4 linked regions of the Arabidopsis thaliana genome follow. The protein of the gene in region 3 interacts with the protein of the main gene of each other region in a pairwise test. Each region holds a gene or a part of one and is shown on either strand. Other genes may lie near its edges. The genes, in order: AT5G57910, AT1G20770, AT3G06530 and AT5G59210.

Evidence for each region.
Region 1: the proteins of AT3G06530 (region 3) and AT5G57910 interact in a two-hybrid assay, tested with the Arabidopsis thaliana proteins (one large-scale study listed by BioGRID).
Region 2: the proteins of AT3G06530 (region 3) and AT1G20770 interact in a two-hybrid assay, tested with the Arabidopsis thaliana proteins (one large-scale study listed by BioGRID).
Region 4: the proteins of AT3G06530 (region 3) and AT5G59210 interact in a two-hybrid assay, tested with the Arabidopsis thaliana proteins (one large-scale study listed by BioGRID).

What each region holds. Positions count from the first base shown.
Region 1 is NC_003076.8:23,449,412-23,457,045, reverse strand, and holds AT5G57910 (ribosomal RNA small subunit methyltransferase G), read left to right. Parts: upstream 1-4,082; 5' UTR 4,083-4,582; coding exon 4,583-4,693; intron 4,694-4,792; exon of another isoform or gene 4,793-5,090; coding exon 5,091-5,161; intron 5,162-5,262; coding exon 5,263-5,497; intron 5,498-5,580; coding exon 5,581-5,787; 3' UTR 5,788-5,965; downstream 5,966-7,634. Other genes in the region: APO2 (APO RNA-binding protein (DUF794)), read right to left, coding at 692-1,523, 1,609-1,961, 2,108-2,226, 2,329-2,356; ENODL10 (early nodulin-like protein 10), read right to left, coding at 2,790-3,166, 3,241-3,508; SKIP1 (SKP1 interacting partner 1), read left to right, coding at 6,131-6,459, 6,557-7,130; AT5G57890 (Glutamine amidotransferase type 1 family protein), read left to right, coding at 7,424-7,529, 7,606-7,634.
Region 2 is NC_003070.9:7,212,899-7,220,444, reverse strand, and holds AT1G20770 (coiled-coil protein), read left to right. Parts: upstream 1-3,547; 5' UTR 3,548-3,796; coding exon 3,797-3,964; intron 3,965-4,242; coding exon 4,243-4,360; intron 4,361-4,482; coding exon 4,483-4,629; coding exon of another isoform or gene 4,630-4,712; coding exon 4,713-4,762; intron 4,763-4,852; coding exon 4,853-4,940; intron 4,941-5,023; coding exon 5,024-5,100; 3' UTR 5,101-5,430; downstream 5,431-7,546. Other genes in the region: SAUL1 (senescence-associated E3 ubiquitin ligase 1), read right to left, coding at 1-1,394, 1,691-2,000, 2,097-2,633; AT1G20760 (Calcium-binding EF hand family protein), read right to left, coding at 5,672-6,250, 6,501-6,859, 6,958-7,026, 7,139-7,253, 7,344-7,415.
Region 3 is NC_003074.8:2,018,532-2,026,534, forward strand, and holds the start of AT3G06530 (ARM repeat superfamily protein), read left to right. Parts: upstream 1-3,928; 5' UTR 3,929-4,064; coding exon 4,065-4,224; intron 4,225-4,312; coding exon 4,313-4,526; intron 4,527-4,608; coding exon 4,609-4,704; intron 4,705-4,795; coding exon 4,796-4,913; intron 4,914-5,003; coding exon 5,004-5,177; intron 5,178-5,270; coding exon 5,271-5,441; intron 5,442-5,612; coding exon 5,613-5,668; intron 5,669-5,759; coding exon 5,760-5,849; intron 5,850-5,937; coding exon 5,938-6,086; intron 6,087-6,189; coding exon 6,190-6,278; intron 6,279-6,358; coding exon 6,359-6,487; intron 6,488-6,572; coding exon 6,573-6,641; intron 6,642-6,740; coding exon 6,741-6,909; intron 6,910-7,006; coding exon 7,007-7,146; intron 7,147-7,231; coding exon 7,232-7,318; intron 7,319-7,433; coding exon 7,434-7,634; intron 7,635-7,780; coding exon 7,781-7,973; coding exon of another isoform or gene 7,974-7,990; intron 7,991-8,003. Other genes in the region: SFR2 (Glycosyl hydrolase superfamily protein), read left to right, coding at 304-453, 555-684, 785-1,002; AT3G06520 (agenet domain-containing protein), read left to right, coding at 1,753-2,190, 2,462-3,424. UniProt on the Arabidopsis thaliana protein: Involved in nucleolar processing of pre-18S ribosomal RNA. Involved in ribosome biosynthesis.
Region 4 is NC_003076.8:23,886,614-23,895,684, forward strand, and holds AT5G59210 (myosin heavy chain-like protein), read right to left. Parts: upstream 7,157-9,071; 5' UTR 7,007-7,156; coding exon 6,971-7,006; intron 6,874-6,970; coding exon 6,786-6,873; intron 6,699-6,785; coding exon 6,652-6,698; intron 6,387-6,651; coding exon 6,297-6,386; intron 6,215-6,296; coding exon 6,161-6,214; intron 5,985-6,160; coding exon 5,907-5,984; intron 5,819-5,906; coding exon 5,750-5,818; intron 5,655-5,749; coding exon 5,499-5,654; intron 5,418-5,498; coding exon 5,291-5,417; intron 5,093-5,290; coding exon 5,058-5,092; intron 4,960-5,057; coding exon 4,765-4,959; intron 4,691-4,764; coding exon 4,550-4,690; intron 4,460-4,549; coding exon 4,350-4,459; intron 4,268-4,349; coding exon 4,189-4,267; 3' UTR 3,933-4,188; downstream 1-3,932. Other genes in the region: AT5G59190 (subtilase family protein), read left to right, coding at 1-443, 540-634, 736-954, 1,027-1,138, 1,228-1,447, 1,531-2,060; OTP80 (Tetratricopeptide repeat (TPR)-like superfamily protein), read right to left, coding at 2,180-3,814; HAI1 (PP2C protein (Clade A protein phosphatases type 2C)), read right to left, coding at 8,059-8,414, 8,547-8,652, 9,022-9,071.

The sequences.
Region 1 (7,634 bases), on a different chromosome or scaffold from region 3:
ACAGCTTTAAGACTCTAATCATTAAGCAAGCTGCATCATCCCAAAATAAGACTAAAATACTTAACCTTTGAAAGACCCAAGTAAAAATAAGTCATAACCATATGAAGTTGTCAAGTTGTGCTAAAATGAAGATTAGACTAACTCTGACCAGTATGAAGCGAAGCAACATCATTACATCAACTCAAATGGATAAAAAAGGAAAAAATTTGATGAATGATGGACACCGACACATAGTAACAAATTTAAAGAGGTAGAGCTAGAGAACCAATCTTAAATTTCTCGCATAGAAAAAAGGAGAATTGAATCTTAGAACAAAATTAGAAATAGAGCAGACGTGAACTTGCTGAAGCAAGAGAAAGAGACAAAGACAAAGGCTTACATGGCTACACGGTTTCAAGGGTCCCGTTGATGAGGATAACCAGAGGAACAACTACGAACATGAAAAAGATGAAAGTGGGTATAAAGCTACCAGACAAGTGGTATCGACTTGACACAGACAAAAAAAAGAAAATGGCAACGAGAAAAGATGAAAACGAAGCAAATGACATTTTTACCCTTGATAATAGGATTAGCGTGGATTGTTTTTTTTGTCCTTCAAAAGTCAAAAAGACCTGGGCTGTGATATTATTATACAACACAAGGTGGAATGGAGGATTTTGTACAAGAAGAAGTTTACAAGGTCTTCTACATATCAAACAACCATCTCAGCTTCTTTCACACTCGAAGGAATTCCAACCTCCAGTCTCATTGTAGCTCTATAATGCTCAGGTACAACAGCGCCAGCCTGAGCACATATCTCCACAACAGCAGGTGCTTGCCCGTAGAAGCTTCGTAGCTCTCGCTGCATCGGTGGCCCATTCACATCAGGAACATGCCAAACATATCTTGGCGGTATCAAGTCGTCAAGTACTGCAGATTGCCAACCATGCTGGCCATTCCGCTGTTGGTGCTTGAATGCACCACAGTTCTGGGCCTTGTGTCCCGTTGGACCTACGTGAACCTCTGGACAGTACCCACAGACCCTAACCCTGTACATCCTCATCAGCTTTTTGGCTCCTGCTCTCATTTCTTCCCAGGCCTGTAATGTTTCTTCGGCTAAGGAGACTGTTTCTTCTTCGCTAGATGGGGGAGTGATCTCTGAGACAGGTAACTCAGTTAACAATGGCACTGGAGGAGGCTGAGGCTCTGGATCAGGCAATTCAGTTTCATCTGCATCAACAAACTCGCTTTTGCCAATGCGGATAATCGGTTTTCTTCTCCTTTTTGCTGGAAATTCGGGTATTTCAACGCCGCCCTGAATGCAGAGCTCAACTACAGCAGGAACTCGGGGAATCGAGAATCTTTCATCATGACGGATACGCTTGCCAAGGCGGTCAAAAAGGTGATAGGCTTCAAGAGGAACAATAACGTCCTCAATAACCGAGTTAGTCCATTCATGAAGACCTTTCCTTTGGGAAGTATTGGGACCTTTACACGACTTAAATGGATGCCCATAAGGTCCAACATGAATCTCATTGCACCACCTAAGAGACCAATCATACAACATCAAAAAAAGGCCATACTCAAAACAGACCAAAAATGAAACAAGAAGAAGAAGAGAATTTTTACCCACAAGCATTAACACGAACAACTTTCATAAGCCGGTGGAGATTGTTGATCAATCTGATTCTTGCATTGTATACTTTATAAGCAAGAGGCACAAGGCTCTTCACAACCATACCATTTTTAGGCGGAGGTAGAGGTCTCTTAGGTTTGTCTTTGTTGTTCTTGACTCTCTCCCTCGCAGCTCGTCTCAGGTCCACAATAGGGACTGGGAAAGGTTTCTTCTCTCGCCTTGTGTACTGCTTAGGTAAGTCTTCATTCTGAGGACGATCATTTCTCACAACTAATGGCAGAGATCGACGCTCTTTACTAAGCACAACTCTTGAATTCAACTGAAGGCTAAACTCAATGCTACTTCCCTGCACAACATATCCGCACATAACAGTAAACATTGACTCTCTACTTCAAAGGGAAGCAACGAAGTGTGGTCTAATTCTAAGAACCAAAACAACAACGAAGCAGAGTCTGGAGAATTGGATGATACTGACTAGTAAAGGAATCTGACCTGAAGAGAAGGAGAGAACCCAAATCTATAAAACGTGTTGGGATTAAGAAATTGCCTCCTGGTTACGCTATGAATAGCAAAAGGTACACTTTTTGGTGAAAACCCAGAAACTGTACTAGCTGGATAAAACAACGGAAACCAAAATCAATCACAGTCTCACAATAAATGGATAAAATTGAGCATTGAGGACGGATTCGACACACAGTGAGGAAGAAACTTACAGGAAATAGCGGAGTACGTTATCGACATCGTCGACAGTTGCTGGATTAAACCATTGGAAGATGGAGGATAAGGAAGAGAGAGCGGTCTCAGTCCCGGAGACGAAGAAGATAGCTAATGTAAATCGTGGACAAGCTTAAAGCTAATAAGTTCAAATAATGGGCCTTTAATGGGCAGAAGTTCCCATTAGGCCCACTTATAATAACATTTGTTTCCAAATTCCACAGTTGTATAACCGATCCGGCCTTTAATGTTTTCTTTCCAATTTGAATTTAGGATATTAACCAAAACTAACATTGTATTAAACACTCAGACAGAGTAATGCAAAGAAACAAGTAAACTTACAAACCGAAATCGAACCGAATTGGCTAAGAAACAAGACTAAATCACAAGCCAAAGTAACAAGTAAACCGGAAAATACAAACCGAAATCGAACCGAATTGGCTAGAGGTAATTCACAAGACTAAACCAAAAGGCCTAATGGAAGAAGAAGAAGCAAACTCCATGCTGTGTTCAGGCTTCCCTTGTTCATGATATGAGCGTTTAAAGGAGCAGCAGCAACGCTTCTGTTGTAATTTGGAGACAAGACAATGTTTACAGGAGCAGGAGCATCAACAACGCTTCTGTTGTGATTTGGAGACAAGACAACAACACGAAGCTTCTCTCCTCTTTGGCAATGTCCTTCTTCTCCACTTATGAAGTAAAAAGGACCTGACCTCTTCAGCTCTATATTCGTGTGACCATCTTTGTATCCTCTTATTGGCTCTGATCTGTCACATCTCTCGTAATCTGTTTGTCTCACTTGCAACACTGAATCATTCTCCGCATTGTATTTCCACACTGTTGAAAGACAAAATGAACTTTTATGAGAAACAAAACAGAGCCATGTACCAAAGTCAAATCTTATTACTTACAGAGAGAATCTCCAATTTTGAATCTTGTTCTGCCTGACCATTGGTTTAGTGTTTCATCTCTAGATTCTGGAGCCTTCCATGTGTTAGATTTGCCTCCCACCAGAATCTCTCTACCTTCAGACAACAAACCAAACAAGAGAAGCAAACAACAACACATCATTACTGAAGACATTCTGGTTATACAAAAAAGTTTAATTATGTTTCTGTGATGATTAATCATATGATGAGAATTTGCAAGAATAAATAAGAGAAGATAGGTCAGTGGCATCTTGAATCCAAACAAATCCTTCCCATGAATTAAAACGTGACTACCATAGAAACAAAGCTCGTGAAAATGAAGAAGCTAACCGTTACAGTTACTACAGAGCTGTGTGTTAATTGTGACCAAACCCTTTTTCACCATTGCATCAGCTGATGGTCACTGACTAACTGATGCATTAAACACACTAGAATCATCGATGTGAACGCAAAAAGTCATTGCCTTAAACTTTATTTTTTTTTGGGGTAACAGAGTAAATGGAATGCATGTGAAGAGATGGCAATCTTTTAACAATTGACGTAATAAGAAGATTTTTTTTTTATATAGAAGAAAACTAAAACCTTGCACCAGTTTCCAGAAATCAAGACAGAGTTTTCTGCAAAATCCGTATTTTTTTAAGTAATAACTAAAAGGCGAATCTTTTTTTTTCTCTTCCACCATCTGACTTTTCTTGAGGGATTATATTAAAAAGTCTGAAAAATATATTTCAACCTCCATTCTCATCGGTCTCTATACAATGGACCCAGTTGAATGAAGATAAACTTAATATTTACAGACGACAATGGAACACAAGAAACAAAACAGAAAGGTTTGGTTTCTTCAAGATTTCTCTAACCAAACTAACCCATTAATATAAAAAAAGTTGTCTAGTTGATAAAATGTTATTAAAAAAGGAAGTTGCTTTTATGTGTTTTCTTTGACCCATTACACAATTTACTTAGTGCCACAAGTCATTACCCATTTCCTGCATAAGTCTGCTTCCATCTTCATCACTGCTGTCTCAACCCAACACACTCACATCCAAAAAAGCAAATTTTGCCTTTTATTTTAATTTTTGTTTTCTTTTTTCTTTTCTTTCCTTCTCACAACAACAACAACAACAACAACAACAACAGCAACAACATGATGTGTCCTTCTTTTCTGCTTCTTTGTCCTTCTCTGACTTCTCCTCACATTGATATTAGACTTCTACACGAAACCCAGAACCTTCCTCTTTCTCATTTCTCTCTTTCCTCTGTTTTCATCTTTTGCTCTTCATCTCTCTCTTTCTCTCCTTGTGTGATTCTGTAATTTACTCATCTGATGAATCCAACTCACGGAGATTTCACTCCCTTGAACTCTAATCATTTCGAGGATCCAAAGGTCAGGTTTAGGCATCATAGCCTTATGCAAGACTATGGAGAATTGCATATGGTACGAACTCTCTTTTCTTGAGTTTTAGATCAAGTTTCAGTTTCTGGGTCTGGTTTTAGTTGTCTCTGGATCTGAGAATGTAATTTTATTTGCTCAAAGATTGATCTGGGCTCAGAGCTACTCGGAAAACCCGGAAAAAGGAACAACTTTCTTCTTTAAAATAATAGAAAGAAGAAACTTTTAAGTTTAATTGCTTCTGCTTCCTTAACAAAGTTAATTACTTATTAAGATTTCTATGTGTAGTTAGTTATGCAAATCTCTATTAGTCTTAACTCTTAAACATAGTTTTAGGATTTAAAACCTTGTTGTGTACATATTATCAGCTCGATACTCTGATCTTTGAGATCATTTGGTTATGAGCTTTTGTTAACGTGTGTTGGTTGATTATATACACTAGGAAACCGAAGCTATGAGAAAAAGGTTACAGGCAGTGCGAGAAAGAAAGGCAACACTAATGGCTGAAGTCAGGTAAAGACAGTTTCAATCCTTGACAAAATATATCATTAGTCCTTTCCTTTGATGTTTTCCTCACTTGTTAATATATCGTTCGTTTATAACCTCTTTAACAGATTTCTGCGACGGAGATACAGACATTTGAGACAAGACCAGCCACAAGAGATTAAAAAGGTCAGAAGATCAAATGGTGGGAAGAAGATCCGAGTGGAAGTGTCTCCTAGTAACAAAAGTGAGGCGGAAACTAAGCATGTTTCGCTTCCTGACTTAAACCACTCGGAAAAGGCTCACGATGAAACCAAAACCAGTCCTAAGAGAAGAGTTCCTTTGTTTGATCTAAATCAGATATCTGTAAGCACATTTTTCACTCTTAATCAGATTGTGAAGAGACTTAGAAACCAAACATGTCTTTACTCATAAATTGATTTATATAGGGAGAAGAAGAGCAAGAAACAGAGGCAGTGGACAATAATCAAGAGAACACGAGAGTTGAAGAAAGTAATTCATGTAAGAGATTAATGATCAGTAGCATTGAGATGCAGCAGAAAGATGTGAAGCCATCTTCTTGCAGGAATGGCGGAAACGGATCAAATAAGAGGAAAATTTCATGGCAAGATCCTGTCGCAGCTCTCAGAGTCTAAAATAAGAAGACGGAACCTTTTGTTCCTCCTCATAGATCTTGTTGTAACATAGCTTCACATCAAAGTTAGCTTGCTTATTTACTTATCTTGATTGAACAACATATCCAATTGTGACTTGAAAACTTAAAAACCTTATCCAATGGTGGCTTATTGCAAACGTGACATTTCTATACCGAAACATGTGTCAGCAAACGACATTTATGGAAGTGATCCAAAAGTCAAGGAACAAAATTAACGGTCAGATGCATTGACACGTGTCTAAAGAGACACGTTTCGTGTAACTTTAAACTACATTATTACCGAACACAAAGAACCGATCTTTGAAAACAAAACAAGAATCTTTATGGAAGAAGACGGGTCTGATTGGGGCGGATTGGCTCCAGAGATACTCATCAACATCATTTCAAGGCTTACGATTCAGGAGCTATGGACCGGTCCGATGTTCGTCCAAAAATCGTGGCTAACTGTTTGCAGAGATCCGTATCTCTGGTCTATCTTCGATCTGGAGCCATGGTTCGATTCCTATCCCGAGTCGACTCACTTGTGGTCCCCTGAGTTCGAGCAGAAGGTAGACTTAATGCTACGATCAGTCGTTGATTGGAGCGAAGGTGGTCTCACTAAGATCCGCGTCCGCCATTGCAGCGACCACGCTCTCTCTTACGCAGCCGATAGGTAAATATCTTTCTTATCAAGATCGTGATTGAGTTTGTGATATCCTCTATTTTGGAATTTTCTATGGCTACGAGTCTGATTTTGGACATATCAATAGATGCCCGAATCTACAGGTTCTTGCCATTAGAAGCAGTCCTAACGTGACAGACGCATCGATGACGAAGATAGCGTTTCGGTGCAGGAGTTTAAAGGAACTTGATATCAGTTACTGTCACGAGATATCTCACGACACTCTTGTGATGATTGGTAGAAACTGTCCTAATCTGAGGATCTTGAAACGTAATCTTATGGATTGGTCTTCTCGGCACATTGGCTCTGTTCCTACAGAATACTTAGACGCTTGTCCTCAAGACGGAGACACAGAAGCTGACGCGATTGGGAAACATATGATCAATCTAGAGCATTTGGAGATTCAGTTCTCTAGATTATCTGTCAAGGGTCTTGCTTCGATATGTGAGGGTTGTCCCAAGCTAGAGTACTTGGACTTGTTTGGGTGTGTGCATTTGTCAAGCCGTGACATTACAAGCAACGTGTCAAGGCTTAAATGGCTTAAGGAGGTAAAGAAGCCAGATGTGTATGTGCCAAGGTCAGGGGATGTGGCGCAGACGGAGAGGTATGGACATTGGAGACTCTATGACGAGAGATTTGACATACAAGCCATGAGAATCTGATTTCTACACACACACTGCCATGTTTTATAATAAAGCTGCCCATAGTTCTGACTTGGGTCGGTTGTTTGTTATATGTCGTGTTGTTAAAATGGACCTTAGGCCCACGGGTCTAAACGGGCTATTTGTAATGTTTGAACGGGTACCCATTTAAACCCGATTACTAACGGGTCTAAACAAATATTAACCGAGTGGCCCATTTATTTTTAAGTTTTTGGAATTTTCTATGCTAAAACGACAACGTTACGAGTTCTTCAGTTTCTCAGTTCTCCAAACGACAACTTCGAGCCAAAACAATGGCGGCTACTACATTGTACAATTCCTGTCTTCTTCAACCGAAGTATGGCTTCACCACTCGCCGCCTAAACCAGTCTCTCGTTAACTCTCTTACGAACCCAACAAGTAAGTCTTCTCTGGAAGCGTTATTCGAATCAAAAGTTTCGATTTTTATCTGTGTTTTTTGTTTCCTCTGTGATAGGAGTTTCGGTTTTGTGGAAGAGTCGTAGA
Region 2 (7,546 bases), on a different chromosome or scaffold from region 3:
CCGCAAGATCCTTTCCACCATCCAAACCGCTCTCCTTGTCAGCCTCTCTGTTCGGTTCTCCCTCAGAACGTTTAGTATATGCCGTATCCCATCCGCTTCATCGAGTATCTTGACCCCTTTCTCTACATCTAACCCGTCTTCTAGTAAGCTCGATAGAGCTGCAAGTGCGGCCTCAACCACTTTCACATTTTCATGGTCTAATAGAGCCACTAATTTCTCCACAGCTCCTCCTTCGACAAGGCAAAATGTTTCTCTTAATGAACATATTCCCTGGTGGATCTTGCACAGCCCGTTTACAACGTGTGGTTTTCTCACACACGAAAAGATCGAGCCACAGTAGTTCACAGGAGGCGGATCAGGCATCCGTGTCAGCTTTATAGACTCTAGTGAAAGATTCTCTAAAGCCATGGCGGACACCATCTGTATGTTATCTTGCCCGTTGGATTGGAGCAGATGAAGGAAGAGTGACGCAACATCGTGCTCACGGCAAAAGTTAATGGCCCGAGCCTCTTTGTTGAAAACAAAAGTAATCCTAGCAAGTATACGCACAAGTCCTTCCAGAAAAGGATTCACAAACCTCATTCCCTTGATATCCCCTTGGCGGATTCCAAACACTTTGGATATGATTTTTTCAAAAGCACCAACTTCTAACATTTCCTGAGTAAGACCCAAATCCCTATCTGGCAATTCAGCTAAGAGCCCAGCAGCAGCAGCCTGTTCTTCAGTGATTGGTGTCTTTTCTGAAATGATAGCAACAAGGCTTCCGAGTTGTCCAGCAGTGCCACATAAGGCCTTAGCTAGTTCTTCACTCATGAATGGGGAAAGGTTATGAAGAAGCTTTATGGAAGCCAACCGCAAATCATCATTCTCTCGGACCTCTATAAACTGAACCAAACTGATGATTGCACCGGAGGTTTTAATTGCATAAACAACTTTTGGAACTGTTTTTGGGCAACTGGTGAGTCCAACAAGAACCTCCAACAGCTTGCACTGGATCGCTGGACCTGTGTTGCTAATTAGATGGAGCAGATTCTCCACTCTGTTCTCTGAAACAAGAGTGGCTTTGTCAAAGTCATACCCGATGTTCACTATGTTAGCAAGAATAGTGGCAGAGACTTCTTTCAACCGAATTGGAAGGTTGTTTGGCCCCACATAAAACAGATCTTTGATAAGTGGGGGGAGAATTCCTTTGCTGATCAAGACCTTAGCACTCCCTTCGAACGATGAGATTTTGTTAAGAGCTTTCAAGGCAGCTTCCCGTTGGGGCATGTCACCACTTCTCATAAGATCGACAAGAGAAGAACCCACAGTCTGAGCCACAAGAACCTTCACATCGTTATTTAAGGGAAGCTCCCCGAGAAAGGAAGCCATAGAGAGTTTTGTTTCAGGTGAACCTGCAGATTTCACATGTGGTGTCATTATTCATACAAGAAATTTGCCATATAACAGAGGAAAATAATGAAAGATTTGACCATCTGGGTAGAAGAAAATTGACTCTTCTTACAAGCGAACATGTAAAATTCCTAGAGCAAACAAATTCTAAGGCAGAATACCATAACACTGTGATGCATCCGAACAACTGAAGGAAGAATTTTACCAACTGAAGGAAGATGATAACTTGTTTTATGCAAATGAAGTAGAGAGCGTAATTGTTATATTAAAACCAAACAAAGAAAAGAAATTCTTTCACCTTCAAGGAGTTTGCCTAGAAGAGGCTGGAGTCTACCATATGAAGCCATCTGCCTAACAATTTCCTCTGACCTCTCCATATTTTCCAAGGTTCTATCAGCTTTCTCAACAATTGAAACATTTTCTGAGTTGCTGCTTGTCAGACCAACCAATAATATTAGTGCTCCATGAATGGAACCAATCTTCTCGCACAAAGCTTCTGATTTAGAGAGCTCAAACAGCAAGGAAACAGCTGCCTCCCTCCCCTTTGATGGCTCATGTGATAAGAACTTAACTAGTGTACGCACAGTGTCCCCTTCAGCTACTATCGCCTGCAAGATGCTGAAAATTTAATTAGCACCCGCTCAATTTCCCATTAAAATGCTACACTAAATATTCAGCAGAGATGAAAAGAAATCAGATTCAACCTTGCTCTCATCATCTCCTTCAACGACAACTTGCAGAGTTTGTAGAGCCTTATACCGCACTCTATGGCTAGTACTTTTTAACATGTCGATGATCATATGGATAAGCTGAGAGTTGCGTACACCATGCCTATTTGATCGGATGGTCCTGCAAATCTGTCGCACATGCATCAAAGCTTGCAAAATATCTGTCTCAGCATTCCCTAAAAACAGTGACTGACGAGCAATGTCAAGCTTGGCAGCATCATTCCTGGATCTCCACTCTTCGATAGTGTTACGCAGAGCTATGCTGGCGCTTACATCAGTGCTAGTCAGCTCCTGAGATGTCAAAGGGCAAGAAGGAGGTCTCCCACTGTCCCGACACTCCTTGAACCATTTCTCAATGGCTTCACGCTCGAATGTTCGACCATTCTCTAAAGTGACAGGATCATGCATAACCTCCTTTGTCAATGGGCAGATGAATGCTTCATAGATATGATCTACTCCTCGCTCAAAATGAGAGCTATCATCTGACTGGTCACCATCCGAGCTTCCAACCATCTTAATCCTTCAAACTCACTGCAAATGTACAAGCAAATACCTCATTGTTATGAAACATAGGATCCTAGATGAAAACCCACTTGGATACATCAATGCAAGAGAGTCTGGTAAGAAAGTGTCGAAATTTGATAGTAAATGAATGAGAAAGTTTTGGAAACACAAAAAGGGATAGTACCACAGTTTGGTTCCCGGATTCTTTCACAGCCAAGGAAACAAAATTCAAACTTTCAATCATAACTATAACCTAAAATACGAAAAGTAACAGTGTCCCAAAATCATCACTCCCATGAACCCTTATATAGCAAGATTACCAAATTTAGCAATATTCGTCAAAAAGATAAAGAAGAGAAACAACGTCTCATGAAGCATTTCAAAAATACCAAAAGAGATAAAAAAAAAAGCACACCAGCCTGTTCCAGTTGAAGAAGCGCCTCCTCAAAGCTATACAGAGAAGGGAAAAGAAAAAACCAAAGTTGATTCTTCTTCTGAAGTTGACAATTCGAAAACGACCACTTCTTCAAAAATCTCCTTGAGCTAAAAACGCGCGAGAAAGTGTGAGTTCTTCTTCATCCATGGATCTAATTGCAAGCAATCGAGCTTGCCTCCTACTAAAATCTCGAGCAGAGTTGATTCTATCCCCGTGCGAGAACGAGAGAGACAGGTAAAAGCGAGAGGAAATAACAGAGAAGAAGATGGGTTGAAGAAAAAATCGAATTTTTAAGAGAAAAGCACGAAAGGTTGACTAAAATCGAAAAGTCATGTGAGAGAGAGAGATAGAGAGAGACGTGGAGCCACCAAACGCCAACTTGACAAACTGAGACAAACAGCCTGGCGCTGTGTTCACACACACTCGACTTGCTCTACCCACCCACCCATAAACATAACCGGTTTGACCCGAAAGAGGTAATCTTTCGACTTGGGCTATTGGTATTAATGGGCCTTTATTAATTGGATATTACGAAAATAGCCTCGTTTGATCCGTCTTTGTTTCGATCGCTTTACGTTGTCTTCTACTTGGGCTATTGGGCCTTTACTAATTGAAATATTACGAAAATAGCCTCGTTTACTCGAGAAATTGATCTGTCTCTGTTTCGATCGCTTTACGTTGTCTTCCTCGTGTAAGCTTCGATTTGTTGATTCGCGTGTGTTGGAGCTAAATTTCGATGGCGGAGATTTACGAGGAAGGAGATGAATCAGTGGATGTGAATAAAGAATCAGAAGTGAAAACTGAGCTGGGAAAAGGGGGAGGAGATGAGAATGTTTTGCAGTTTCTAGATTCGTTGGATGGATATTTAACGCTTATGGATTCTGTGAATTCTAAGCTTCGAGAGGTAATTGGAATGATATTTGGTGTATTGAGCTAAAATGGGATCTTATGGGAATGATTCTTATGTTCTGATGTATAGATGACTTGAGATATTCTGTGTTGAATTGAATTGAATCTGGGATTAAAAAGGATTGCGTGGGAAACGTTTTCGTTGATTATCTAGCTATAGTAGCCATGAGGAGAAACTTTTTTGTGGATTCATATCACTGATATGATGAGAGTGAGAGTCTGCTGCCTTAATTAACTTATTTGGTATGGAACTGAAATGTGTTATTTTTGCAGGGATGGTTTGATCTAGCTAGTGCTCGACATTCTATGGGAACTTTACGCATCAACAGCACTCTCTTAGATCTTAAGTATCATCCCGCTTCTTCAACATTGCAAGTGACTGACCAAGATGGTAAGTTTGGCTTATGCTTTGGGCGTTTGATAGTTCAATGGTTTACGTTTATATGCTATGAATTTATGTTTTTTTTGCGGGGAAGCAACTTATATACAGTGTATGTCTATGGACTCTTGTAGTTGAATCTTTGGGATCAGTACCTCATTTTGCTTTGTCCAAGTGGGCTTCCAAGGGCGGTAGCAGGAAAGGCAAAGACTTCTCTACTGATACAGATTCGGAGATAGGCTCACCTCTCAGCCCACAGCTACGACATCGAGGAGTTTCTGGTAAAAAAAGACTCATCTGTTGGTTATTCTCTGCCCTTTGTTTGTCGGTGTTTCATCATCTCTTGCTTTATGTAATTCGATAGAAGAGAAACCATCAGCCAAGGATGAAACCGTTTTAGCAGCTGATGAAGAGGTGAGCAATCATTTAACCGTCTGCAGAAACTCTACTTGTTTTCAAAATGTAGGACGATGGTTTTACTAATTCGAATGTGTTGAGCTCCAGATAAAGAAAGAACGGGCAAAATCTCTGTCAGTATTTGGAGGTCTAGTCTCTCCTAAGCTGCGTGGCGCTCAACAATCATTTGAAACAGGTAACATCCTCATCACCACAAGTATACTCAAAGGAAGATTCCAGTTTACAACTGAAACTCTTTTTTCTCTCGTCTTTGGACAGCTCTTGAAACTCTGGTGGAAATAGCCAACATGCGTGCATCGATGATATCTGCCTTTGAGCGGATCACAGAGAAGTGAAGTTCCTTGGTAACAACTGATCCTGAAATGTGCTCAGTGGATTCAACGGAAACAGAATGGAGCCAACCTCAAAGACTGATGTTACATTGATCATAGCAGTTTGATGCTGCGAAAATCATATCTTCTTCGAGTCAGAGGGTTAGAATGTACCAATGCATTAGCTCGATTTTCAATTTTGTAGCTACCACCTTCAAGTGTATCTGTTTTGATTTGGTTAAATGTTACCAGAAGTTCTTACAAGACCTCGAGCTAAGGATATATCAAAATAATAAAACATTTTGGAGAAGAGAAACAGTAAAAATGGAGAAAAATAAAATCATTTCATTGTCCTTTAATCTCTTATCCACGACGAAATCCTCAAATATTTCTTTCATATAAAGCAAATGAATTCATAACATAACAGAGATACAGTAGGAAACCAATACAGAGACAAACTTTACAAATTACAAATAGACTAACGCTAGTGTCTCATCCAAAACCAGAATTTGGTGAAAAAATTATAATTATGAAACAAGCACAAGTTCATCAAGCGAGGAAAAAGGATTATAAAAGGGAACGATAGTAACCGAGGCTAGAAGGAGTTCCAGTTATCTGACCTTTTCGTAGGGCTTTCATCCGAAGAGACTTTAAAGGGACCTGTGGAACCAAACGGGTCTGCATCATCAAACGAGTATCCATGGCTACCACTGAAATCCTTTGTACTATTCATAGAGTCGAATCTTGATAGCGAGGGACCACCAAAGTCTTTGCTACTGTTGATGGAATCAAACCTCGAAAATTTCTCAGCTCCAGTGACGTCTCTGGAACTGTTAATTGAATCGAACCTAGAGAAGGCAGCTCCACCAAAGTCTTTGGAGCTGTTGATGGAATCAAACCGAGACAGTCTCTCGGGCTGCGAAGAAAACCCGGCGCCTGCTTCACTGGTGTTGAAGGAGTCGAACCTGGAGAAGCTATCAAAGTTATTATCTCTAGCTGATGCATCGCTGAACCGAGGTGGAGAGTTCCCGAATCTTGAGAGTGGAGTGCTGGGGACTGAATCATCAAATGCAAATTGGCTCTTTCTCTGGGCGCCAAAGCTTCTTGAACTTGGAGAATCTGCTCTTGCTGTGTTTCCACCAAAATCGTCACCTGATCCAAAGTAATCTCCATCCTGCCAATGTTGATATTGAAAATGCTAAGCTTGGTTAAGACTCTGAATAGATAACTAAATGATTCAGCATACAGAAGGTAAATGTAACATCGCAAATCTGAAAAGCATGAACTTAATACGGATTTTCAAAATCTTGTAGAAATTAAAAGATCAGTTCAATGTCTATTCGTCACAACTGAAAGATTTGATTTAGTATTTTGATAGATGGATTGATGTGTTAAAGCGAGAGACACTATGTTTCTTTACTAACCTGGCTTTTTGATGCATCAAATCCCCAGACTGAATCCACATCATCGTTAGTGTCAAATGCACTTGCCCAATTCGAGTCATCAAAGAATTCAGAATTCTTTCCCTGAGAATAATCTGGAGATGGGACCTCAGTAGCATTCCTAGAGACAGGACTGTCTCTAGGACTTCTATCTTCACTGTGAGTTGTCCCATATTCACTCTCATGGTGGCGGTCTGAGGTTTCTGAAAAAGGGCCATAGTTGTCCTCTACATGGGTCGGCGAATCAGGTGGCCCACTACCATCATCCACCGTACCATTTTCCTTCTCACCAGACGAGTTTTGCTCTTTTGATTTGTCAAAAGTGATCTCATTGCCAAAACCTAACAGTGGGAACATTATCAGTCAATGTCCTTGTTATGTGCTTAACTATATATATCTAAGTGTATTAGTAAGAGAAAGATAGGAAAAAACATTGTACCTTCATCTTCAAACTTATCCCATTCCTCATCCCAAAGAGCTGCACCTTCTTGAATTCCAGGTTGCCAGCCTGTAAGTCACAACATAGCAAATTCCACATAAGTTGTTTGTTTACAAAATACATGTTATTTGCAATCATCTACAACGAAAGCAAGAAGTCACAAGGCAACGGAATCATATACCAGCTGGAAGGTCTACAAGGGCCTTCGAGTTAACCTCCAACCCGTGTTTCTTGCATCGTTCAGTTAAAGCCTTCATCAATTCCTCAAGATCTGATTGTATTCTGTCAGCCCGGACCTAAATGTGCCCAGTACAGCATCAAATCAGGCATGTACAGCAGATACTCGACAGTTAAGGCATCTCGTAAGCATATAGAATAGCATGTACCTGAAGGAGACCATCAGCACTACCACCTTGCTCCATGTTCACAATTGCTTGACTCAACTCCATCTTCCGCCCCTGGATGGGTTAGCAAAGCAAAAGTTCAATAAGTAACAAATTTCCGTAAGATGTGTTACAAAATTATTCAAAGCCCCTTCACCAGCAAAGGTGAAAGAAGGGAGCATTGGGCCATAGAATAAGAGGAGAGG
Region 3 (8,003 bases):
TCCCTGAAACTCTCTGAATCATGCAAAACGTTATTTCCAGCTTAACTATTGAAATTTGGTAGCATTGTTGTGATGAGCCTGGTCTGTTAAAACCTCATCTAGACCTCAAAATCCAGCCATGATTTTAGTCCACGGGCCATCCTGGACCCATTAAGGCAAAATGGCGGGTACCTGGCTCATCCAGCATGTGACGGGCTTAGACTCAAAAAGGTCATCCGTTGCAGGGCTGGGCTGGCTTTGGGTCGCCATAACAACCCTACGTATTGGCATATCTCTCACTTGTGTTTGTGGCTTTCACAACAGGGTGTTCCTGTGCTCGGTTACATATTCTGGACTATTTCGGACAATTGGGAATGGGCTGATGGATATGGTCCAAAATTTGGACTTGTTGCGGTTGACCGATCCCATGATCTTGCCCGAACTCTTCGGCAATCATACCATCTCTTTTCCAAGGTTTATTATAACCCCTTGTGGTTTTTACTACGCTTGAGAGTTGAGATCACCAGATCGCTGTTCGTCTCATATGGCTTTTGTGTTTTCCTTGCTCTTTCCAGATAGTTAAAAGTGGAAAAGTCACTCGGAAAGATCGGTCTCTTGCATGGAACGAACTCCAAAAAGCTGCCAAAGCAGGAAAACTACGGCCATTCTACCGAGGCGTTGATAATCATAATCTTATGTACGCAGGTTGGTTTACAACTTCCAACCTTGCGTATTTTTTTTTTGTTTTTCCAACTTTTACTTTATATAATCTTACTTCCAAGGCTTTGTTTTGTTTGTTTAAAAGATGGTCTCGACAAGCCTCAATGGAGACCGTTTGTTGACCGCGACTGGCGGTTTGGTCACTACCAAATGGATGGTCTTCAAGACCCGTTGAGTCGCGTGGCTCGAACCCTTCTCATATGGCCGCTTATCATGAAAAAGAGGATAAGAAAAGTTAAGATCAAGCACACCGATGATGCTGGGCTTGTTCTACATCCTGCTTTAGCCTCACCCTTTGACTAGAGAAAGAGGTAGAAGAAATCCGAGTGTACAAACTCATTTCCCTGTATGATTTGCCAAACCTTTGGGCCTTTGGCGCCATTAGAGACGATTCACCGTTTTGTTGTTAATGTTTAAATAAAGGCAAAACGGCATGATGTTCGGATGAGGTGCTTTGTTTTTTACATACGCCTCGGGACTTTAACCAACGACATTTGGTTGGACCAATTAATAGTAAGTTTAACCGACCCAATGTCCGGTTTTTGTTCAGCTTGATACCTTACCCTGGTTGGAACTTGGAAACGGCAAGCATTCAGCTATTTGTATAAAAAGGAAAGGTGGAAAAACTACACGACTTCTCTGGAGCAAAATTTTAGGATGAGGTAGGCTAGGCCCATTTTAATGTCCATGAGTGATTTACTAGACTTGAGATCCACGGTAGTCCCAGATCAACGGCTCTTATTTTGACACGTGAACAAAACACAAAAAACACCTCGCGTTGTGATCTGAAGGATAAAGAAAAACAACAGGACGTTGTATTACATAAATTAGAAACGAGGTGCTGTTTTGGTGTTTTCCTTTTTTCGGCATTGACCTATCTTGACCGACTCATAATATAAGCATGCTTGTGTCGCCACTGTCTCTTTCTCTATATATAATAGCTCTCACTCTTCTCTGATTTTCTTCTGTTGAATCAAGGTCTCTGGAAATTTCATCATCTTCAGTCTTACTCCTATCCCTATTTTCTCGTTGGGTTGCACAAATTGTTTACTGATGACGAGCGATCGATTTTGGCGCGGCGGTGACCGCGTTGAGGTGGAACGACTAGTTTCTGGCGCGACGGCATATTTTCCGGCGAGTGTTGTTAGCGCGCCTTCGGTGAGAAAGAAACTCGTTTGGGTGGAGCATGAATCCCTAACTGTTGGAGGTTCCGTTTCCGTACGTATGAAGGAGTACGTCACTCCCACGCGCCTCCGTCCATCTCCACCGCGTGAACTCAACAGACGGTTCAAAGCTGACGATGAGGTCGATGTCTTCAGAGATAGCGAAGGTTGCTGGGTTAGAGGCAATGTTACGACCGTACTTGAAGATTCAAGGTACATTGTGGAGTTTAAAGGGGAAAATCGTCCAGAAATAGAGGTTGATCAGTTCAATTTGAGGCTTCATCGTGAATGGCTAGATGGTGGGTGGGTTCCTTCTCTTCTCCAACAGGTAAAACATTTCTCTGCGTTTGAATTGAATCTAGGGTTTGTAGAAAAATAGTGAATTTAATGTTTTAGGGATTAAGATACATTGAAAGATTTGACGAATTAATTGTAAATTTAGTAAAACCAAAAAAAAAAAAAAAAAAAAAAAAAAAAAAAAATTGTAAATTTAGAAAAAAGACTTAATTATACTATATATACTGTATGTCAAGCAATTTGAATTTGAAGATTTGTTGGAATTTGGCATAATAAACTCACACTGCTTTTTTGATTTACAGAGCAATTTCTCGGAATCGACAGCCCAAAGAATTAAACTGAAGATAAAAATCAAGAGAAGAGATCAATATGAGAAGGGAGCTCTTGTCGAAGTCAGAAGTGAAGAAAAAGCTTACAAGGGTTCTTGGTATTGTGCTCGTATACTTTGTTTATTAGGTGATGATAAGTACATTGTTGAACACTTGAAATTTAGTAGAGATGATGGTGAGTCGATCCCTCTGAGAGATGTGGTAGAAGCCAAGGACATAAGACCAGTTCCTCCTTCAGAACTCTCGCCTGTTGTGTGCTATGAACCAGGGGTTATAGTTGATGCTTGGTTCAACAAACGGTGGTGGACCAGTAGGGTTTCCAAAGTCCTAGGAGGAGGTTCTAATAAGTATTCAGTTTTTATCATCTCAACTGGTGAAGAAACGACAATCTTAAATTTCAACTTAAGGCCCCACAAAGATTGGATCAATGGACAATGGGTCATTCCTTCCAAGGTATTGACTGATGTGCCGGAAGAATGTTACAAACCTCCATTGAAGAAGCTGAAATCTTGTGAGAGAGCAGAGAAGGTGTTTAACAATGGAATGGAGGTGGAAGTTAGAAGCGACGAACCAGGTTACGAAGCCTCATGGTTCTCTGCAAAGATCGTAAGTTACTTGGGCGAAAACAGATACACAGTGGAGTATCAAACACTAAAAACAGACGATGAAAGAGAGTTGTTGAAGGAAGAAGCAAGAGGTTCAGATATAAGACCTCCTCCTCCTCCACTGATTCCAAAGGGGTATCGATATGAATTGTATGAACTTGTGGATGCTTGGTACAATGAAGGATGGTGGTCTGGTCGAGTATATAAGATAAACAACAACAAAACGAGATATGGTGTCTACTTCCAAACGACTGATGAGAGTTTGGAGTTTGCTTACAATGACCTTAGGCCTTGCCAAGTGTGGAGAAACGGAAAATGGAGTCGTGTATAAGGATGAGAAGAAGTTGGCTAACGGTTACAACTATTAATGAAGAGGATAAGGAAAATGACTTGTTTATAGTACATTTTTTGTTTATGAACATATGTTTGAAGTTGATGATGTCGTTAATTGTCTGCGTATAATATAATATTTAACTTCTAATGAAAGAGGTCAGGTGTTAAGTTTCTTTTTTGTTCTCTGTTCTCACTTCCATTTTACTGAAATTCTTGGATAGATGGGTTTGTTAATCTTGGCAAATGTGATGTGAACAGTGATTGTATCTTGACTTTCTTACACTTGTTTCAAGACTTTCTCGATTGAGGAATTAAAACGCACAGTTTTGTAATAGTAGCGGCAGATTAGAGATGGGCTTTATTATCAAGTTGTAAAACTATTGGGGTTTAAATTCGAAAAACAAAAAAATAGGTCATGGTTTAAAACGCAATTCCATTATAACTCAGGGGTTTCCTTGTTTCTTTATATTACTATATCTTCCAGATTAAAAATAAAAGGATCGTTAAACCCTAAACCCGCTTCTTCTTCTTCTTTCTCTTCTTCTCCCTCAACGCCGCTCTCTATCTCTCTATCTCTCTCTACCTCAAACTTATTCTTCGAATTTCCTCTGAAGAATAATCTTATCCCAATAGCGAGTATGAGTTCTTCAATAGTGTCACAGTTACAGGCTCTCAAGTCAGTGTTACAAGCCGATACAGAGCCTTCCAAGAGACCTTTCACACGCCCTTCGATTCTCTTCAGTCCTAAAGAAGCAGCTGATTTCGATATCGAATCAATTTACGAGCTCGGGCTCAAAGGTATGTTCTCTTCTCCTATTATGCAATTCTAATGAACAAGCTCAATGATAAATTAAATTCTCATCGTTAATTATTTTTGTTAATTCAGGTCTAGAAGTACTTGGAAACAAAGATGAGAGGTTTAAAAATTACATGAACGACTTGTTTAGTCATAAAAGTAAAGAAATTGATAGGGAATTGCTGGGTAAAGAAGAAAATGCTCGGATTGATTCATCAATCAGTTCGTATCTACGTTTACTCTCTGGTTATCTTCAATTTCGTGCTTCCTTGGAGACCCTTGAGTATCTCATACGACGATACAAGTATGTGTTTCCTTATCACTATTGGTTATGTATATTTGCCTTTGTTCGTTCATCGAATTGTCCTAATTGCTCTATATTTCAGGATTCATATATACAACTTGGAAGATGTGGTTCTATGCGCCTTGCCATACCATGACACACATGCCTTTGTCCGCATTGTTCAACTGCTTTCTACTGGGTGAGTATATATCTTTCACTTTCGATTTCGAAGTGAAGTCTCACAATTTATCATATCGATTAGTAAACCCTGGTTCTCATTTGCTTTACAGAAATTCCAAGTGGAAATTTCTGGATGGTGTTAAAAATTCAGGTGCTCCACCTCCTAGATCGGTTATCGTTCAGCAATGTATACGTGATAAACAAGTTTTGGAGGCCTTGTGTGACTATGTAAGTAGCTGTTAATATTTTTTTTCCCTATAAACTGGTTTTTGAATGGCTACATCAAACTGAACATCTGAAATCTTGGTTACATTGTAGGCATCTCGTACTAAGAAGTATCAGCCTTCAAAACCTGTGGTTAGCTTCTCCACCGCAGTTGTTGTTGGGGTGCTCGGTTCAGTTCCAACTGTTGATGGAGATATTGTAAAGACGATTTTGCCATTTGTGGACTCTGGTCTTCAATCTGGTGTGAAAGGATGTTTAGATCAACAGGTTTTTTAGTGGTTTTCTTACCAAATATTTTTCTCTAATTGATTTTGTTATTCAGTTGATGTGCCTTTTATGACAAACTTTATATGGTTCTAGGCTGGAGCGTTAATGGTTGTTGGCATGTTGGCAAACAGAGCTGTGCTAAATACTAATCTTATCAAGCGCTTGATGAGGTCCATCATCGACATTGGTCGTGAACATGCCAAGGAATCTTCTGACCCGCATTCGCTTCGATTGTCACTTATGGCCTTGATCAATTTTGTTCAGGTGCAATAACTTTCTGTCATCATGAACTTCTTACATTTTAATTTTCGATATCACGAATGTATAAACTTCTAAGTATGAGGTGGACATATTTTCTATTCCTCACTGAGGATTCTGCTCACAAGTGGTTGGTGTTGATTGTTTTAAACAATTAATTTTCTGAATCAACTACAGCTGCAATCTGTGGACTTGATCCCAAGGAAAGCATTGGATCTTTTTAACGAAATAAGGTATCTGAATATGAACAGTCTTCCTTCTGAAGCTTTTTTTAATTGTAACTATTACTAGTATTTTTTCAACGATGGCTTCAATTTTGTGCAGAGATATTTCTGGTGTTCTTTTAGGCTTGTCCAAAGAGTTCAACATCAAAAGATTCCTGGCAGTGCTACTGGATTCTTTACTTTTTTACAGGTGTATATCAAACACTGTTTTGTCATTTTCAAGCGGATGGATTTATTTTGTTAGTATTCATGTGTGATTTACTGTCATCTTGTTGCAGTTCGTCTGATGATAAATGCTGCGAAGTTTTAGCTTCAATAATTGAGACTGTTCCCGTAAGCAATTTGGTTGATCATTTGATCTCCAAGGTTTTCTCTTTATGTATGACACAATACCAGAAGAACAGTGATTTTAGATCTTCTACATCTGGTTAGTGATATGTCAACTACTTATGTCATTGAGTTTTGGGTGTTCATTTTTGAAGATTCTTTTTCAGATTCCTCTTTATATAACCAATATTGTTGCAATTTAGTTGTAGGAAGCTGGGCCAAGAAATTTCTGGTTGTTGTAAGCAAGAAGTATCCTGCTGAACTACGTGCCGCAGTTCCTAAATTTTTAGAGGTCTGTGCTCCAACTCTCATTTAGTTATTTTCCTTTGTGTTTGTTATATGGTCTTCTGAGTCATCGACTTCTTGTTGCAGGCTACTGAAGTTCAGTCGAAGAAAGAGGATTTAAAGCTAGAGATGTTGTCTTGTATGCTGGATGGGAATTCAGACATGTCTCACCCGTTTGTGGATTCAAAATTGTGGTTCCGGCTCCACCATCCCAGGGTACTATAACCTCTAATCTTAGTTATGTGAATAAAATTTTTTATTTACTTTTTGCGCAAGACTGAGGGCTTCTTATAAATAATAGGCTGCTGTACGTTGTGCCGCGCTTTCTAGTCTAAATGGTGTTCTCAAGGATGATAGCTCTAAAGCAGAGGTATGTGTGGGGTACTCATTCCAAGTATTTTTTGTTTCTTTACTTTGACTTCATGTCATCTTACTGTTCTTCAATATCTTTTTTACCCTCTCCATCCAGAACCTTGTCACAATTCAGGATGCTATACTGCGTCAGCTTTGGGATGATGATCTGGCTGTTGTTCAGGCTGCCCTCTCTTTCGATAAGTTGCCCAATATAATAACCTCTTCTGGTCTTCTGGATGCTTTGCTTCATGTGGTGAAACGATGTGTTGGCATTCTCGTATCAGGTGAATAAAGATGCTCTGTTCTTTTCTTAACTTGTTTCAAGTGTGGAATTTTCATATGTTCAGTTAGTTTACCTCGCACTATCCATTCTTGTTGCAGGAGTATCACATAATGTTCAACTGGCAGTTGATGTTGTTGCTTTGTCTCTTAAAATTGCTGTCTCAAGCTTCGGTAATCAAACAGACTCTACTGAGAAAGTTACCTCTGCAATGTTCCCATTTCTCTTAATTCAGCCGAAGGTTCTTTCTTGTTCTCTTCATTTTCTACAGCTATGGCGAAAGTCTTGTTACTTCTACTAATTGCTGTAATCATGTCTTTTAATAGACGTGGAATTTAAATCTACTTGTGCTAAAGTTGGGAAAGGATGTTAACTGGCCACTTTTCAAGAATCTTGCTGCTGATGATGGAATGGTAAATATGAGTTTACGATTTTACTATCCTTCAATACTCCAAGTCGCAATCACAAATCTTTTAATGGTTGTTGAATATTATTATCATGTCATCTGAAAAAGAAAAATTGTTGCAGAAAAAGCTCCCCGATATCATGTCTACAAACTTATCCTCAATTAGCATGGATATTATTAACGATTTGGGAGAAGCACTCTCCTTGGATCCTGATGAGCGTAGGATTGAGCTTATTGAGAGAGCGTGCAACTATAAGCTCTCTGAAGTTTTGGAAACATGCAGCAATATCAAATGTTCAGAACAGGATCGTAACAAGTTGCAGGTTTGTCATTACTATACTGTTTTCGTAAAAAAAACTTCCAAGTCCGCATTGCTATTTCAATATTTTAACCTATTTCTTGTCTTCACATACTTGGTATACTATTATTCGTTGTTTCTGAGATTTTATAAATGGTTATTTCATATCAGAAGGGACTACTGATCCGTGAAAGTGTGTCCGCATTGAACATAGATGTCATTAACAAGCTGGTGGAAGCATTTATGATGCACCCTGCTGATTATATTCAGTGGCTTACTGTCAGTTGCCGAGATTCCACCTTGTCAAAGACACTGTTTTATATGATTTTGATGCATTCCCTGCAGAAGATGAATTCTTCATCTGGTAAGCTTCTGTCCATAGTACTGCGTTAAC
Region 4 (9,071 bases), on a different chromosome or scaffold from region 3:
GAGATGAGGAAGGCCATGGAACCCACACTGCGTCAACGGCTGCTGGTAATGCGGTTCAAGCTGCTAGCTTCTACGGTTTGGCTCAAGGTACTGCTCGTGGTGGAGTTCCCTCGGCGAGAATAGCCGCATATAAAGTCTGCTTCAACCGCTGCAACGATGTAGATATTCTGGCTGCGTTTGATGATGCCATTGCCGATGGTGTTGATGTTATCTCGATCTCAATCTCAGCCGATTACGTCTCCAATTTATTAAACGCTTCTGTAGCCATTGGTTCTTTTCACGCAATGATGAGAGGAATCATCACGGCAGGTTCAGCTGGGAACAATGGGCCTGATCAAGGTTCGGTGGCTAATGTATCGCCATGGATGATAACCGTTGCAGCCAGCGGTACGGACCGGCAGTTCATTGACAGAGTCGTTCTTGGTAACGGAAAAGCATTAACGGTACATTTTCTTATCTAGTGACAACGTCATTTCACATCCTAGTTCAGATTTAGTGACAAAGTTCAAGAGTCGTTGATACTCTGTTTCTTTATACAGGGTATATCAGTTAATACATTCAATCTCAATGGGACAAAGTTCCCGATCGTTTACGGCCAAAACGTGTCGAGAAATTGTTCCCAAGCCCAAGCCGGGTGAGTAAGAAGTCTCTTCTTCTTCTTAAATTATTCTACGTTCACATCTGAATCTTGAATCAAAACACATTGATGCCTCTAATAGTTATTATTATGGACAGTTATTGTTCAAGTGGGTGTGTGGATAGTGAGCTGGTGAAAGGGAAGATCGTTCTATGTGACGACTTCCTAGGATATAGAGAAGCTTACTTAGCTGGAGCCATTGGAGTCATTGTTCAAAACACATTGCTTCCAGACAGCGCATTTGTGGTTCCCTTTCCTGCCTCTTCTCTGGGATTTGAGGACTACAAATCTATCAAGTCATACATTGAATCTGCAGAGTATGTAAGCAGTAATGAATACGAACAGCTTTGTTTTTCGGTCTTGAGATGTTAAAAGAGTTAACTTTGCAGGCCTCCACAAGCAGAGATACTAAGAACCGAGGAGATAGTAGATAGAGAAGCTCCATATGTTCCATCTTTTTCTTCTCGCGGGCCAAGTTTCGTCATTCAGAACCTCTTGAAGGTAGTGCAACCGGAACAAAGATCATTAAGCTTGTGTTGGCTTTATATCCGAATCATTGTTTTTGGAATAACATCAATGTTAGTTTGCAGCCTGACGTAAGTGCACCTGGATTAGAGATTCTGGCTGCATTTTCTCCGGTAGCTTCTCCTTCAAGTTTTTTGAACCCTGAGGACAAGAGAAGTGTGAGGTATAGTGTAATGAGTGGCACATCAATGGCTTGTCCTCATGTGGCAGGTGTAGCGGCTTATGTCAAGTCTTTTCACCCCGACTGGTCTCCCTCGGCAATCAAATCCGCTATAATGACCACCGGTATAATTCAAAACAACAATACATTCTTCTGATTTTCTTACTTTTGGAATAATACAAAAACGTATTATTGTCATGGTATGTAGCTACCCCCATGAACCTTAAGAAGAACCCCGAGCAAGAATTTGCATATGGATCAGGCCAAATTAACCCGACCAAAGCAAGTGACCCCGGACTTGTATATGAAGTAGAAACAGAAGATTACCTCAAAATGTTATGTGCAGAGGGTTTTGATTCAACAACGCTCACAACAACCTCAGGACAGAACGTCACATGTTCGGAAAGAACAGAAGTCAAGGATCTGAATTACCCAACAATGACTACGTTTGTCTCTTCTCTTGATCCATTCAATGTCACGTTTAAAAGAACTGTCACTAATGTTGGATTCCCAAACTCTACGTACAAGGCAAGTGTTGTTCCTCTCCAACCGGAGCTTCAGATTAGCATAGAACCAGAAATACTGAGATTCGGTTTCCTGGAGGAGAAGAAATCTTTTGTTGTGACCATCTCTGGTAAAGAACTGAAGGATGGAAGTTTTGTAAGTTCGTCTGTGGTTTGGTCTGATGGGAGTCACAGTGTCAGAAGTCCAATCGTTGCTTACTCAATCCAGCCTTAAGAAAGGAGTTATGCTCATTTTCTTTTCTTGTATCATCAAAAACAGAGAGAAGAAGAGACAAAGTTTTGAGGGACTAAGACATACTTACTTGAGAACAAATCAACAAAGTGTATCTGACACTAGAAACCCATTATAATATCTATTTGATTCTCTTTGAATCTAAGAATTCGATTCAGTTCTTGTAATCTCTGATAAATTGCTTCTTTATGAGGGTGTGCTATATCTCCCACAAGAAACTCATGGATCTGATTGTCCACTTCGATAGTACTGCATCCTGGTTCCTTCTCAATCCCTGAATCTCTCATACTCTCTCTGATTTCTGTAGATTCTTTCCATTTCCCAGATGAAGCGTAAAGATTTGATAAGAGAACGTATGTCCCAGAATCTGGATTCTCAGATTCGAATAGTCTCTTAGCGATTTTTTCACCGAGTTCCATGTTTCCATGGATCTTACAAGCACTCAAAAGAGTTCCTAACATGATATGATCCGGCTCTATTGGAATATTTTCTATGAATCTGTAAGCCTCCTCTAGTCGCCCCACTCGACCAAGAAGATCGACAATACATCCATAATGCTCAATCTGAGGTTCAACATTAAAAACTCTCTTCATAGAATTAAATACTTCAAGCCCTATATCCAACAAACCTCCATGGCTACATGCGTTTAAAAGAGCAACTAAAGTCACCTGATTCGGCCTAAATCCTCTGTTCACCATATCCCGAAATTCATTGATAGCTTCAACGCTAGCCCCATGCATTGCTAATCCAGAAATCATCGTGTTATATGATATGACATCTTTGTCTCGCATTACCCTAAAAACCCGCCTTGCCTCATTGATATCACCACACCTGGAGTACATATTGATCAACGCATTACCTACGAAATTACTAAGCTCCATCCTTTGGTTCTCAACAAACGAATGTACCCACCGCCCGAGCTCCAACGCACCTAAATCCGAGCATGCGGATAAAACACAGACAGCTGTAAATTCATTAGCACTAACATTCTCCATCTGCATTTCCCTAAAAAGCTCCAACGCTTTGTTCATCTCCTTGTTTCTAACCAACCCATCAATCATCGCAGTCCAACAAACCGTATCTTTAATCTTAACATCTTGAAAAAGCTCTAACGCCTCCTTAATGAAACCGCATTCAGAATAACAATTAATCATGACCGTTGCTGCAACATGATCTCTGTCAGGCATTTCATCGAACATCTTCTTAGCATTCACCAATTCCCCAGATTTCCCGTAGATTTCCATCATTTTTAGCCCTACCGATCTACTAGACCCGAACCCTAGTTTCAAAACCTGGGCATGAATCTCTCTACATACCTTCAAATCACAAGCTTTCAAAACTGAGGTGATCACGTAGTTATCAGGCAAAACCGAATTGTGAATCATCCGATGATACAGCGAAACTCCATCAGCAGAACGACCAGATGACACAAAACCATCGATCATAGCAGTGTATAGATATACATTAGGGTTAGATACGTAACTAAACACGTCGTAGGCGTAGTCGACGGAATCGAGAGTGGAGCAAACACGGATAAGTTCGAAAACAACGAAAGCATCTTGGTCATGGAAGGTCCTAATGATCTTGGCGTGAATCGATGGAACATGGGCAATGTTCTTGCAGCTTCGTAATACAGAGATTAATGTTTTCCTGCGTGAAAGCCTGAGAGTGTTTGAATCGGGATCACGCCGGAAAGTTGAAGGCCCTCCGGTGATCGCTGCCAAGGAAGAAATCATTTCGCGCTCAATTGAAGATTCTAAACCGTTACAATTTTCGGTTATAATTAGCCCAATCCAAGTAAAATGGGCCTGTAACAAAAGGCCCAGTTCGTTGATGAAGATAAAAAAAAAAACCAAGGAAACCAATTTGAACATTGTCGAGATTTAGAAATTCGGTTTAGTCTCACTTCTATAACCAAACTCCAAACCTTCCAAAATCAAACTTGAGGAAAACGAACCGAAGCTTTCAATGAACAACAGTTACAACACAACGAACCAAATTGTTCAATAAAGAAAAAAGTGTTAGATTCACTTGTCCCCTTGGTTCTAAATAGATGTTTTGTTGTATAAAAATATATTCAATACTCAGAAGTGTGCCCTTGGTTCCTGATTCACTGTGCCACTGTAACCGATCCATCTTGCTTCAGCTTGATTAAGCTACTCTCTATGTTTCTAAGCACAGGTTTATAGCTGCAAGAAATCGTAATAGAAAACAATTAACAAGACAGGATAGAATCTCAATGGATTGAAGAAAGTTCCGTGAGAAACTTACATGCGCATAAGCCCATTGTATGCTTGTGTTGCTTGCTGGAGTTGAGCTGAGAGTTGGAGGACTTGAGCAGATAATGATTCCGCTCTGCTCTGTTCTTTCGCAAGTTCACCCTGAAAAAACAAAGGCAGAATTTAACACCACAAACACTATTTGTGTTGAATTTTCTATTCTAATACTTAAGAGTCGGTGAGGACCAAAACCTTGAGGGATAGAGTATCAGTTCCATGCGACCCATTTGCCTCAAATTCTGAAGGCCCTCGTGAAAAAGAACCAGCTTGTTCTGTTCTCAACTTGTCCAGAACTTCACGGAGTTCTACGTTTTGCTTCAGACATTCTTTCACCTATGCAGTTGGCTACAAGTCAACGTAAAGTCCAAGAAAATGTTTTTAAGCAAATGTAAATGTGACAAGCTTACTTGATTCTCCCACTGATTTGATATGTTGATTGATTCTTGATACGAAGCTGAGAGGTTCGAGTTTTCCTCAAATAGCTTCTCTATTTCAGATGATTGGTTGTCAATTTCCATGAGAAGTTTTTGCCTACTACTCTCTAATCTTTCAAGTGCAACAGCCATATCATGCAACTGCTTCTCGAGTTTTTCTTTATCTTCCTACATGAAAACCATCGAACCTAAAACTTAGGGATTCCATAAAACGTGAAAGCTTATATGCTGGCAAGTGGGAAAAATGGGTTATAACAATTTCTTACCACTGAAAATACTTTTTGACCAGACTCTGATACTTCTGCATAATAAATAACACAAAAAAAGTCATTGATATGTATCCAACAATGCACAACTCAGTAAAAAAAAATTCCGAATGACTCAAAAGCATTTAGACGTCAGTTAGTGCATCCAAACACCTGATGATCGTAACAGCTGCAAATACAGACTTGCTTTGAAAAGAAGAAAAAAAAAAAAAATGTGTGGCATCGCATATTACCTGAGGCCCTGCTGGATAAAACTGAAATTTTCTGTTCCAGTTCCTGCTTTTCAGACATTAAAGAAGCTACTCGAGTTTGTTCTTCAGCTAAACGATGTTGTTCTTGCTGCCTCAACACTGATTCTTTCTGTGTATGTTAAGAAAATTATTATCTTAGATACAGAGACTCTCACGAGGAACATATTATCTGTTTCAAAATCATACGAACCTGTAATTCTAGTTTTAGGTTAGCCATCTCCTTTTCTAATATTGGTAGTTGGTCTGGGGAAACTCCCATTGGCGACATGCCAGCAAATGAATTACCCATTGCTTGCTGTTGTATCGAATTAAGCTCTGCTCTAAGAGATGCTGCATCTTCCTCAGCCTATCAACAATGGGTTATGGTATCTTTTAAGAAAAGAAAAAAAAAAAAAGAAGAAAGAAAATTTTTAATTTGGAAGGCAAAAGATTGTTACATACTCGATATTGTTCCTCCTCTGCCTGATTAACACGTCTCTTAAGAGTCCTAACTTGAGCTGAGAGATCCTCCTATAAACAAAAGCTATGCCTATCAAAATGCAATAAAAAAGGAGATAATTTTTTGCACCAAAAGAACTAAAACAAGTGTATTCCCTACTCGTAAAACAACAGCAGCATCTTTCTCCATTGCAATTTCCTTGAGGGCTTTTCTCAGAGATGGCACTGTGTTTTGTTCCTGTCATTCATCGATAAGAGTATATGTCAAGACATCTTGAATCGTTTACCAAATGGACTGTCCAGAGATTCATATTGCATGTCAAGCCTCACAAACCAATTAGTACAAAAAACTAAACAAACTGCAGCCAACCAGGACTAAATAAGATCACAAATAAAAGTTTACTTGTTACTTACCAGCACATTCAACCGAGTCTCAAGTGATTCATTCTCAACTTCCTTCGTTTGAAGCTGAATCCCACAGACAAATACAGTTTAATCAACATACAACCTTGGATCTAATATCCAACAAGGCAAAGAGATAGACACAGACCTTTGAAGACAAAATTTTGTTGCGCTCCTCCATTTCTGCATTCTTCTTCTGCAGTTCTTTAAGCTGGGAATATAAAGCACCAACATCTGTCTGTACAAGTTATTCAAAACAAACCATTATTACCAGGAAGATCATAATATCAGTAAAACCAATACAAAACTCCCATTTATGTTCATTCATTTACTCAAGAAAAGTTGAATGAGCCTATCCTCAGGACAATATGCAAAATCAAATTTGTCCATAAATCCTAGAAGACATGATTCGATTAAGGCATTCTCATTATCAAGACCGTCGCAATTCTAAAGAATCCAATTAGATCACCAGGTACAATTTTTGATAAGCAGAGAAATGCTACCTCAGAAAGTCGATTTCCGCTCTCAGATTTTCTGATCACTGGGAAATCTGAAATAATGAAGTAGTCAATCAAAATTGCAAAGCTAGTGGAAAAGGAGATGGCAAAACATTGAAATTGGAGATGAATAAAATTACCGGCAGGATTGGGAATTTCACTAAGATCTGGACCTGAAGAAGCTTTGCTTAGCCTTTGAGCTGCTCTCTTTTGACGAATCTCTTCCAACTACAAGATCACAGAAATTAATAACAACAAAAAAGCACCGATGTAAGAAACTGTCTTCAGATGAAGATAAAGACGGCCATATCGGAAATATCCTTACAGTACGGCGACCTAGAGACGCGTGGTGCGATTCCATGGTATGATTCCTCTCCTCGGAATTTCGAACGTCGATTTAACGGTGAGGAAATCGCCGGCGACAAAAATGGAATATATCTATATTTGGGCTTATAGGAGTGTTAAATAGGCCCATGGACATATATAACTCTCTGACCTTGAAAGCGAGCCCAGTTTTTCAATTTCAAAAAGAAAAAAAAAATTGAATAAAAGTTGAAAACAGGATGATAAAAGAAAACCAGTTTCCGACAAAAAAAAAAAAAAAAAAAAAAAACCAGTTTATGCAATTGCAAAGACATTTAAAAGAAAAAAAAACGAGAATGTTCAAAAAAATCGTTAGGCGATAGCTAGGAGTTCGATTCTAAAAAAGTTACCAAAGTTTGGCGGTTGGAAACGGTTGGAAGTTATCAAAGCTTGAATCATCATTTTGATTTCTAAGTACTTTAAACAATGTTCAGTCTTAATGATCGACATCTTCTAATATGTCACATGATAAAGTGTGAACCATACCCGTTTGATGAAGAGTTATATAAACATGTTTTATAGATTATGTTGGCAAAAAAAAAAAAAAAACGTTTTACATAATAAGAAAAAAATGTTATAATATTGAATCCTCCCAATTAACCTTTGAAGTATTCTATACCGATTGTTTGCCTTGTTTAGTTACAAAATACACTTGAAAACAAATTCCTTAGTAAATATTTGGTTCTTTTCCTATTCTTAAAGATATCAGTCTAACATTTCTAATATTCCTATAAACATCGTCCTATATATAACAAAAAATAAATTTAAAAAGGTAAGATTTTGTTATGATCAACTGATTCTATTAAATTTAAAATTAAATTGAACTCAAGTCTTTCACATTTCACGGCTTTTTACCATTTTCACTACTGGTGAAAATCTTTGTAGATCTAAACCGCGATTCAACACAGTGACTGACATAACCCATAGTCAAGCTAAATTAAAAACCCTTCGTTGTCTTACACCGAAGAGCAAAAAAGGTTAAAAGAAAAAGCCCAAAAGTCGATGACTCAGGACAAAAAACAACAAACATTACGAGAGAGACAAATACAACTACGTGTCTCGTCGTAGATCAACCACCACAACACTTACGTTGTCCGAACTTTGTCTAGCCAACGCAAGCCTCGTCAGCAACAGCGACGCCTCCTCACACGCTTTATCTGGCAAATCTCCTCCTCCAACCACCACATTCCCGGCGCCGACACCTGTCATTTCCCTTTCCGGTGATGATGATACTTGACCATTGACTTTTCCTCTCAAACACATTCGAACGACGCTACATGCAGTTTCGTTTGAAACAACGTCCCAAAGACCGTCACTTGCGAGAATAAGAAAATCGTCTCCGTTGGCCCGGTCCGTCACGGTTACCTCCGGTCTGCTGATTACATACGGCTTCAAGTAATTATCTCCTGAAAAAAAAAAAAAAAATCCGCGGCGAAACGAGAGTTAATAATCATCATTATTGAAAGTACGGAAAAACTTTGTACAAACATTAGGATAGGGACAAGAGTGTTTTCGTCAAGTGTAATCAATTAACTGACCAATGGCTCGTGACATTGCAAGTACTCCAAGGACACGTGGGCCATCCCAGTAGATAACACGACCACCCGCTGCTTGAATCCGGTCTAGCTCGTCCGGACGGTCTGGCTGTTACAACAAATTTAAACAAGAGAGAGAGAGAGAATGATATAGTCATTGATAACAGTGACACGAAGGATTAAAGAATCTTAAAACTCATAAACTTTATCAGATCCTCTATCTAAAAAGTAAAAAGTCATTAAACATTCTTAATCGTCGTCCAGGTGTTGCATGCACATTAAAGAAGATTCTAATTTCCAATAAATGAAATAATAAATAAAAAATGCATTAAACAATATTAATAGGTAAGTTTCGAACGCAACACGTAACGAAATTCTCGTTTCATTACAGTGAGTAAACCATAACCGTAGATCTAACGGATAAACATTTAACGATGGATAAACGAAACAAGAGAGATTATCAAAAAACGAACAAAACCTTATGATCGGAGGATAAAGCAATGGCTTTGCCGTTACGACAGAGAACGG